3 linked regions of the Mus musculus genome follow. The protein of the gene in region 1 binds, or shares a complex with, the protein of each later gene. Links are inferred from orthologs where the notes say so. Each region holds a gene or a part of one and is shown on either strand. Other genes may lie near its edges.

Region 1 (3,500 bases):
CCTTTCTTATAGAACCTAGACCGCTAGTCCTGGGATTGTACCACCCTCCATCTCAATCAATAATTAATAAGATGCCATATAGCTGTATATTATGGAGGTGTTTTCTTAATTAAGGTTCCCGCCTCTCAGATGGCTTTATCATGTGTCAAGTTGACACAATAAAACTAGTCAGTACACTAGGCTAGCCTCAAACTCAGAGATCTATTCTGTCTCAGCCTCTGGAGGTGCTGGGATTAAAGGTGTGTGCCACCAACTTCTGTATTAGTCAGGGTTCTCTAGAGTCACAGAACTTATGAGTAGTCATATAGTAAGGGAATTTGTTGATAGCTTAGTCTGTAGTCTAACTCCCAACAATGCTCAGCAGCAGCTGTGAATGGAAGCCCAAGGATCTAGCATTGCTCAGTCCCAGAAGGCAAAAGGCTTTTTAAAAGGGGCTAGGGCGCTGAAAATACATGTAAGAGTAGCTGAGGTGAAGCAGCATAACCCCTTGAAAGGTAACTCTCTGAGAGAGATGAAGATGACTGAAACCAGCACTGCAGGGAAGGATTTGCTGGCAGACCTGACACAGAAGAGAAAGGGAAGTGGAAGGAAAAAAGTGGAAGAAGATGCCATGGTTTTCACTAGAAGACCGAGGTTACAGCAGATTCAGGAAATAATAAGAGCTCTGTTTTGACACATAGCAGTCAGTTAGACATCCAAGGACCTATCTGAGTAAGCAGACTAGAGATCCAAATCCAGAAGAGGTCACTTGAAGACTGCATGTAAAATCAAGTGCTTTAGTCCTCCAATACAAAATACTTAATAAACAAGACTGTTTTCCCTTAAAGTAGACTTAAAATCTTACCTTTCCATGCCCTCAAAGAGATAAATGTGTTTCTTGTGTTTCAGGATCTTCAAGATGAAGTTCAAAGGGAGAGTATTAATCTACAAAAACTGCAGGCCCAGAAGCAGCAGGTGCAGGAGCTCCTGGGTGAACTGGATGAGCAGAAAGCCCAGCTGGAGGAGCAGCTCCAGGAAGTCAGGAAAAAGTGTGCTGAGGAGGCCCAGCTGGTAAAGCCTGGCTGCTTACTGACCGACTTGCTACCTCCATCTTGTTCCTGGTTTAGAAAGAAAACATTGCCTGCTTGTTAGTGGCACTGTAGCCAGCAGCTGCTTTATGAAGGCGTTGGAAGGATGCTTATGAAGAGTTATAGTTCTCTGTAGTAGGAATTAGAAGGGTGATATTTTTCCAGCTCTTGATTACACAGATGTTACCTGTGTTACACAGATGCCTCTGAGTTGCTTTTGGCCCCTTCCCTGTTAACTTTCACTGCCAAAAGAATACCTCAAAAGTTCCAGTCCACTAAACTAGACATCTCGTGTCTAATTCCATCTCCCATTCATCTCCATTTATAGATTTCTTCCCTGAAAGCAGAAATAACTAGTCAAGAATCTCAGATCTCCAGTTATGAGGAAGAACTGTTGAAAGCTAGAGAAGAACTAAGTCGCCTACAACAAGAAACAGCACAATTGGAAGAAAGTGTGGAGTCAGGGAAGGCTCAGCTGGAACCTCTTCAGCAGCACCTACAAGAGTCACAACAGGAAATCAGCTCAGTAAGTGGAAACCAGCAGAATGCCCAGAGGGGCCTTGTGTGTCCTTGTTGTAACTTTCTAACACCTGCCCCTTCTTCCTCTGCCTAGTTAGTATCTCTGGTTGTTTAATACTTAAAGTTGGTGTCTAATGGTCATTTACATAATAGATTAGAGTAGGGGCTTTGTAGTTAAAGCTGTTCAGGTTTAAATGCTGGCTCTGTCATTTCATAGGCGAATCACTTTTGAGTATCAGCTTTTTTATCTTTAAAGTTGAAGATTTAACAACAAACCTACTTATTAGGGCTATTATAAGGATTAAATGAGGCAAAACATGAGGTAAAAAAGTTAGAGTCATGGGGAAAAGAAGCTTCAATTGAGAAAATGCTTCTGTGAGATGGGACAAGCCTGCAGGGCATTTTTTTCTTTTCTTTTTTGAGACAGGGTCTTGTCTCTAACAGTCTTGGCTATCCTGGAACTCACTTTGTAGACCAAGCTGGTCTTGAACTCACAGAAATCTACCCTCCCCTGCCTCCCAAGTGCTGAGATTAAAGGCATATCACTATGTCCAGCTTGAAAGACATTTTCTTAATTAGTGATTGATGGGGAGGGCTCAGCCTATTGTGGCTTGTGCCATCCCTGGGCTGATGGTCCTGGGTTGTAAAAAAAAAAAAAGCAGGCTGAGCAAGCCATGAGGAGCCACCCAGTAAGCAGCACTCCTCCATGGCCTCTGCATCAGTTCCTGCCTCCAGGTTCCTGCCCTGTTTGAGTTCCTGTCCTGAATTCCATTAATGATGAACAATGCTGTGGAAGTGTAAGCCAAATGATCCTTCTCCTCCCCAAGTTGCTTTGGTCATGAGGTTTCATCACAGCAGTAATAACTCTAAGACACTGAACAACTTACTGGGTTTTTTTGGGATTCCAATTTTTAGATCAATTTTTCTTAGTGAAATCATTTAGTTTTCTTGTATCTGTTTATTATTATATATTGATTCTTCCATTTGTGTCTTACGGTTGAATTCATTTGACTAGTTTAGGTCAAAACAGCTTTATCCTTTGTTTATTGGACTTTGTGTGACTTATTTTTTTAGAAGAAGTAGTTCTCAGAGACCTGACAGAAATTTCATAAGGCTTACAAAAACAAATGCATGCATGCTGACATTGCAGGAGGACTCACTGGGAGAGATTATTGAAGCCTTTAAGTCATGCTTCATTCCTAGAGGAATCTGCTAATAGGAAGCAAACTCATCCCTGAGTTAGTCTAGGGGCATAGATATTTGTGATATATTTATTTCTAGGATTAAATTGTTTTGTATTTCTACTTTGTATTGGCAGATGCAAATGAGATTGGAAATGAAAGATCTGGAAACTGATAATAACCAATCAAATTGGAGCAGTAGCCCACAAAGCGTTCTTGTTAATGGTGCTACAGATTACTGTAGCCTCAGCACCAGCAGCAGTGAAACAGCCAACTTCAACGAACATGCTGAAGGCCAAAACAACCTAGAGTCTGAACCCACACACCAGGAGTCCTCAGTGAGTTTTTGTTTCATAGTGTTTATTATTAAGTTTCCCCCTCGACTCCCCCCACAGATTGATGAAGATCAAAGTTAGTGTGTACAGACTTATGTGCAGAGACCAGGGGGCGTCCTCAAAGTGTCACTCCTTAGATGCTGTTCACTTGTTTTTAAAAAAATAGGGCCTCGGAGATCTAGAGCTTACCAATTAGACTAGGGTGACTGGCCGGAAGCCCCAGGTGTCTGTCTGTCTACATCACCCCTGCTCTGGGTTTACAAGCACACACCACCACTTTTGGCTTTTTGCATGGATGCTGGGGATCTGAACTCAGTCCACACTTGAGCAGCAGGCTCTTTATCAAATAGGCTCTCTCCAGCCCCAGAGCAGTGTTTTATCAGCATTGTATATAATAG
Region 2 (2,666 bases), on another chromosome or scaffold:
TCTCCTATGATATCAGTAAGTTCTTTGCCCTGGGAAATCCCCCAAAAGGAGCTGTGGCCAAAGGCAGAGTAACCCTGTGGTAACTGCCTGGAATGGATCATCTCAAGCCTGCTGGTTCTGTGTGCGCTGGTGGCCTTTGCTCAGGCAGAGGATGGATCCATGTGACCCATCACGGAGGGTCTGGAATGTTGGATTTTTTTCAGCTGAGGACTGTCAGAGAGGGCTGGCTGGCATCTGCTGCACCGTGCAGACAGTGACCAGGGATGCATGCCTTGGACCCAGCTCATAGTGTAGAGCAATGAGTGTCATCTTTGTAGTAGACCTGGGTTCATTTGGAGATGTTCTATTTAAACAGAACCGTTTGGAAACAAGTAAACACTGATGTGGGGTTTAGGGATGTATCTCGGTGGTGAAATGCACACCTATGCATCATAAGCAAGAACCTGGAAACATCTCCACAACCCCTGCTGTACACACGAACTCCCTTTCCTGTGTCTCTTTTCCCTGGGCTCCATGGGGTCATGAGCTGTGGGCACAGGGTGCCACACAGAATGCAGAGGGAAGCAGAAGCTGCCCATGACCAGCCATGGTTGCTTGGATCCTGGATGCAAAGGTATCAGAGAGCCTAGAGGTTCCTGTTGAGATATTGCAGTCTCTGGCTTCCATGAGTTCAGAGCTGCACTGATCTGTAATGCTGTGCCTTTTAGTTAGCAGGCATGGCTTCTGCTAAGAACATGTAGTTCAGAGCTTGGTTCTGCAGTGCTAAGTCCAATATGCAGCTAGTGTACAAATTCTAAGGTCTTTTAGGGAAAGCGACTAGCTTTGGCTGTAGGTAGTCTGGGCCAGTGGGACCTGTTGAATAATGGAAGGGCAAGCTGGCAATAGCTCCGGGCCTTGATTTACTTTCGATGTTGGCAAGTTGATGTGTAGGGGCCCCTGCTACTTTCTGTGGTGGGCTGGCTGGACTGATCCCACTCTCCTTGTCTGCCTGGACTCCTTAATGCACTCACATCTGAACCTGCAGACTAAGCCCGTGGACCCAACTGTGGATGGGGGCGCACAGGTGCAACAAGTGGTCAACATTGAGTGTATATCTGATTTCACAGAGGCACCTGTCCTCAACATCCAGTTCAGGTGAGTGGTGTGTGCCTCCTGTGTCCTTTCCCAACCAGTGTGCTTCTCTTCAAAGTTAGTGCTGTGTCCCTGTGCCTGTGTGCAGAGTAGTTAGTGCCAGGCCTGGAATTCTAGACTCCAGGAGCAGGTGCAGAGGGAGCTGGTGTCTGTGACCATGGCACGGTGCCCATGGGGTGTGAGTCTTCTGTGTGGTCTGTGGGGCTAGGCTGTTTCTGACCCAGATGATTTTGTGGTGAGAAATCGAAGGGCTTGCCCCTCAAGGAGTCCAAGAATCAGGCTCTCCACGCTGTCTTGTTGAAGCTGGCTTAAGAGGACAGCTTAAAGGGGAACGGTGGTAGCTGGTTTGGACCCAGACTTCTGGGCCATAGTATGTAGCTGCCTTTCTTTTTTTTTTAGTGATCATAATAGAGCATGATTCCTTCTTGGGGAGCTACTAGGCTAATTGATTTGGTAGGAGTTCTACTAGGGCTTGTTCCGGGTCTTCATTTGCCAAAGGAATAGGACTAAAAGGAACTGGTCCACTGACACTTCACATAAAGCAGTGGTTTGGTCCTTTGATCATCTGTGAATGGAGGGATAGATGGAGGCTGTGGCTTAGCCCCTCCAGGAATACTGCTGGTGTGCAGTCTTTGTGGCTATTATTGGGGTGGGTAGCCACGTGGCCTTTTTCTAAGCCCAGAAGACTCACCAACGGAAACATTCTGGCTCCATGTTTGTTCTCCATAACGTGACTCTGTTGTTACAGGTATGGTGGGACCTTCCAGAATGTGTCTGTTAAGCTTCCCATCACTCTCAACAAATTTTTCCAGCCCACAGAAATGGCTTCTCAGGATTTCTTTCAACGTTGGAAGCAGTTGAGCAAGTGAGAGGGGTGAACTGTGGGTGGAGAGGGGGATGGGGATGCTGTCTCTGGACAGGATGCTGTATGGGTGTCAGCATAGCTTTTAGTACTTAACATGCTGTTTTTGTAGTCCACAGCAAGAAGTGCAGAATATCTTCAAAGCAAAGCATCCGATGGACACAGAGATCACTAAGGCAAAGGTAAAGGTTGTATGGCGATGTCCCTGAGGCCATTGCTGGGACCAGTACTGGGAGGCTTGACCTGCTTCTTCATTCTGTGTAGATTATTGGATTTGGTTCTGCGCTCCTGGAAGAAGTTGACCCGAATCCTGCAAATTTCGTGGGTGCTGGCATAATACACACCAAAACCACCCAGATTGGCTGCTTGTTGCGCCTGGAGCCAAACCTGCAAGCTCAGGTGAGGTCTCCACAACAGGAGGATGGATATGCTTGTGTTGCTATTCATTTCAGTGCAGTTTATTTATAGAGATACTAAGTGTTGTGGTCATGGTGGCAGTGCAGACATTTAGACATCTCCTGGCCAGCAGAGCACATCATATTTCTATCTCCTCACAGAAGGCCTGACATACTAACAGTGCCTGTTTAGCAGTGTAGCCCTGAGCTGTGTCTAAGCAGGGCTCCCGGTGCTGTCTTGCTCTGTGTCCCTCTCTGGGTGTGGTGCACAGTGCTGC
Region 3 (3,500 bases), on another chromosome or scaffold:
CTGACACAGTGGAACCCCAGTCCCAAGGACTCTAGGATTCCCCATGGTCCATGTGGAAAATTCTTATTCATTCTTCGTCTCCCAGAGTTGCTCAAATACTACCTGTGTGCCAATTCAGGAGGGAGAACAAGTTTTCTCTGCATATATCTGTCGTCCCTGCCTCCACTATTCCATAGGTTCGAGGGATAAGAACAGATCTCGTTGATTTTATTCAATGGTGTGGGATTCCAGTAGGCAATGGTGAATAGAGTGACTAAATGTCTCTGTCATTGACCACTTAAGGCCCTTCATTATTTCATTTTTAAAAAGTCTTTACACTAATAAGAATTGGAACATTTATTGTTCTGTTCGACCTCCTGCAAAATCCTGTCAAGAAGTTGCTCTCTGGGCTGGAGAGATGGCTCTGAAGTTAAAAGCACTGACTGCTCTTCCTGAGGTCCTGAGTTCAATTCCCAGCAACCACATGGTGACTCACAACCATCTGTAATGGATCCGATGCCTTCTCCTGGTTTGTCTGACAGCTACAGTGCACTCATAAAAATAAAATAAATAAATCTTAAGAAAAGAAAAAGAAAAAGAAAAGAAACATGAAAGTAGCATGCCTTGGGCTCGAGAGATGGCTCAGTGGTTAAGAACACTCACTGGCTGCTCTTCTGGAGGGCCTGGGTTCAATTCCCAGCACCTACATGGTGGCTCACCACTGTCTGTGACTCCAGTGCCAAGGTCTCCTCAGGCACAGACATACATGCAGACAAAACACCCACACACATTAAATAAATAAGTAACTAAATAAACTGCTTTTAAAGAGTATCACGCCTGACTAAAGCCTCTTAGGAAGGGACTTCTTTGCACTTAGCAATCCCATGACTTGGGCTGCTTCTCAGCACGGAATGTTTTCTTCATTGGAGGCGACAACTGAAGACAGCTTGCAGTCCATGGTTGCGGGAACTGCTAGTTTTATCATGGCCACAAGATGGGGCATTCGTTCTTCTTGGTAGTTAAAACAGTTTTAGATGCTACAACTAAGAAAGTATTTAGAGGAATCATAAATTATATAAATCTGTGGTTATCATTATATGTAGGAAATGATCCAATGACTCTGTGAAATCTTTCACCGAGACTTTTCTCTTCCCTCCGCAGGACATTATCATTTTGATATGTTGCAAGCCCCTGTTTCACGGTGATCTACCTATAATCTGAGTGCTCACAGGCTGGAAAACAGAACTCAAAGCTGGACTGAGCTACAGGGGGAGACCCTGTCTTCAAAGCCCCCAGTACCCCCCCCCCCCCAGCAAGAAAACCGGCTCTCCAGTTTTGACTGAAACCCCCCCCCCCCCAGTCTCGATCCCATTATCACTGTGAAAGGGTTTGGCTTTTAAGTTTGCACTCCTACAGTCCAGTGCCTCTGCTGGGTTCTGATACACAACTCCCGTAGACGAAATATTTGCTTCAGCTTATCATGTTCCCAGCCCTCCCTGCCCCCATTTCCAAGATCAATCCCTCCAAAGCAGAAATCTTACCACAGATGGGACCAGGTCCCGCTTCGTCCCACTGTTCTTTGTGCTGCTATTTACGTCAGATAATACATTCTCATCAGCCCCTTAAGTTTTTGCCTAGTTTCTCTCTTACCCGCGAGGGATTATTTCATTAAAGTCAGAGCAGATTCACCCACAGCTATGAATGTAAAGGGCCTATATAAGAAGCATCTGCTGGAAGGAGTGGGGGGAGGGGCGGGGCAGACAAATGGGCTTGGACACCTCAGCGGGAAGCCCTCTCCAGGCTACCTTGTAGCTGTAGTGTGCAGAATAATTGACCCACTTCCTGACGTCAGGCTTGTCCTCCACAGACACGGATCTCACGGCTGCTTTGGAGGCAGAAGTCGTGGGCATGCTGAACTCAACGTTTACATAGTTGGCAAATCTGGAAGGCACTTCCCGGTCAGAGCCAAGCTCAAGGTGGCAAAAGAAACAGTGTGGGTGGCCAGAAGCTGCAACAGAAAGAAAGCATCCAGACGTTAAGTCCTTTGAGGAGGAAATGAAAAGGGAAAGGAGGCTAATGCGCCACCCTGCTAACGCTGCAGGCTCCGAGCCTGGCTGCTTGCTGAGGGTCCAATCAGGCGCTTCCCCAGACATCAGGCTCTGAGAGCCTCAGACCCTTTCATCCTGTGCCTCTTGATTACAGCAGCCTGGACACCAGCATAAAAGCCACAGTCCATGGAGGCTAGAGAGAGAGGGCTCAGTGGTTAAAAGCAATGGCGGCTCTTATGGAAGACCCTAGTTTCAGTTCTCAGCGCCCTCACGGCAGCTCACAACTCTCTCTAACTCCAGTTCCAGGAGGGCCGACCCCTTCACACAGACAGACATGCAGGCAAAACTCCAATGCACATAAAATAGAAGATAAATAAATAAAAAGAAGTACCAAGGTGATTAAACATCATTTGTAAAAATGAGAGCAAACAAAAAAACAAATGGGAAAAAAAGTCCACAGCCTGAGAAATAGGCTTTTATGACTGTTTAGATCCAAGGGCTGGCTGTGCGGACACAGCACAAACACTAAGAAAGAGGCCTGAGACTGGAAGAATGAGCAGATGAGATTAGCACTTGGCACCCAAGAAACCATCAGCGACAGCCGCCTGGAGCAAACTGCTCTCCTTTATAAGATGAATTCTCCTAATAGCATTTTGTATTTTCAGAGGTGCCTCGGGCATGTTTCTGCGGGTGGGTGATGTATGAAAGTGACAGAGTTATGGACAGCACACAGGAAAACTGGGGGGACACAGTGCACTGGACCAATGATCTGATCTGCCGAACCACTGTCTTAGGGTGGCTGAGGAGGGTTCAGGGGGTCACAGCGAAGAAAAGTGTCAGAGCTGTGACTGTGGCCTGCTACCCCTTTGTCTGAGTCATAATTTCATGGCCCCTGAAACATGGAGACCAGGTTGCAGGATGACAGTGTAGAGATGAGAGGCGGCAGATGACTACAGATAAACTGTGATGTGGCTTTGACTGATGGTATAACTCTTCTCTGCCTCTTCGAGTCAACAATTTCAATTTCCTTTATTGCTCTGGGCAGGGTTTTTCAATCTCGGAGAGTCAGGAGACGCACACCCTCTCTCCAAGGAAATCACTCCAGAGTGAGGTATTTGTTTTTCGCAGATGTAGCATAATTTAATGGTTATTTCTAAAGAGTAAGGCTAGGATATTTAACAGAAAAATTTGCACTGGCTTTTAGGAAAGGAACAGAAACTAATACACACACACACACACACACACACACACACACACACACACATAAATTAATCAGAACTTGATGGTATCTGAAAACACATCTGTTCAATCTATTGTTTTGGGTGCCACGGACTAATTACAGAGCTGTCATTTGTCATCTCTATGAAAACTGTGCTTCACACTGAAAAGCATTCCCCAATTTCACTCTGAATGAGCTAGGTACTAATAACCCTATCTCGTAAATGAGAAAAATTAGATCTCTCTGACAAGGCT

What was found. Proteins that work in one complex are often made in the same cells at the same time.
Region 2: the proteins of Eps15 (region 1) and Ap2a2 are in contact, whole or in part, in a crystal structure (PDB 1KYU), measured with the Mus musculus proteins. Residues at the interface, in NP_031969.1 of Mus musculus: Asp629, Pro630, Phe631, Lys632; in XP_006536218.1 of Mus musculus: Phe442, Phe443, Trp446, Lys447, Asp487, Pro488, Val494, Arg511.
Region 3: the proteins of Eps15 (region 1) and Ston2 are in contact, whole or in part, in an NMR structure (PDB 2JXC), measured with the Homo sapiens proteins. The link is inferred for Mus musculus from reciprocal best matches to the Homo sapiens genes EPS15 and STON2. Residues at the interface, in NP_001972.1 of Homo sapiens: Leu139, Gly148, Lys152, Pro153, Val154, Leu155, Leu156, Asn157, Ser158, Lys159, Val162, Asp163, Leu165, Gly166, Arg167, Trp169, Glu170, His176, Gly178, Met189, Val192, Tyr193, Leu196, Glu197, Lys198; in NP_001353779.1 of Homo sapiens: Trp309, Arg310, Ala311, Thr312, Asn313, Pro314, Phe315, Glu318, Gln321, Asp322, Gln324, Pro325, Ser326, Ile328, Asn329, Pro330, Phe331, Phe334, Phe335, Glu337, Gln338, Glu339, Arg340.

Annotation. Positions count from the first base shown.
Region 1 is NC_000070.6:109,360,275-109,363,774, forward strand, and holds part of Eps15 (epidermal growth factor receptor substrate 15), read left to right. Parts: intron 1-888; coding exon 889-1,050; intron 1,051-1,395; coding exon 1,396-1,593; intron 1,594-2,904; coding exon 2,905-3,105; intron 3,106-3,500. UniProt on the Homo sapiens protein: Involved in cell growth regulation. May be involved in the regulation of mitogenic signals and control of cell proliferation. Involved in the internalization of ligand-inducible receptors of the receptor tyrosine kinase (RTK) type, in particular EGFR.
Region 2 is NC_000073.6:141,628,180-141,630,845, forward strand, and holds part of Ap2a2 (AP-2 complex subunit alpha-2), read left to right. Parts: intron 1-1,010; coding exon 1,011-1,134; intron 1,135-1,879; coding exon 1,880-1,996; intron 1,997-2,105; coding exon 2,106-2,175; intron 2,176-2,257; coding exon 2,258-2,392; intron 2,393-2,666. UniProt on the Homo sapiens protein: Component of the adaptor protein complex 2 (AP-2). Adaptor protein complexes function in protein transport via transport vesicles in different membrane traffic pathways.
Region 3 is NC_000078.6:91,639,937-91,643,436, forward strand, and holds part of Ston2 (stonin-2), read right to left. Parts: intron 1,988-3,500; coding exon 1,785-1,987; intron 1-1,784. UniProt on the Homo sapiens protein: Adapter protein involved in endocytic machinery. Involved in the synaptic vesicle recycling. May facilitate clathrin-coated vesicle uncoating.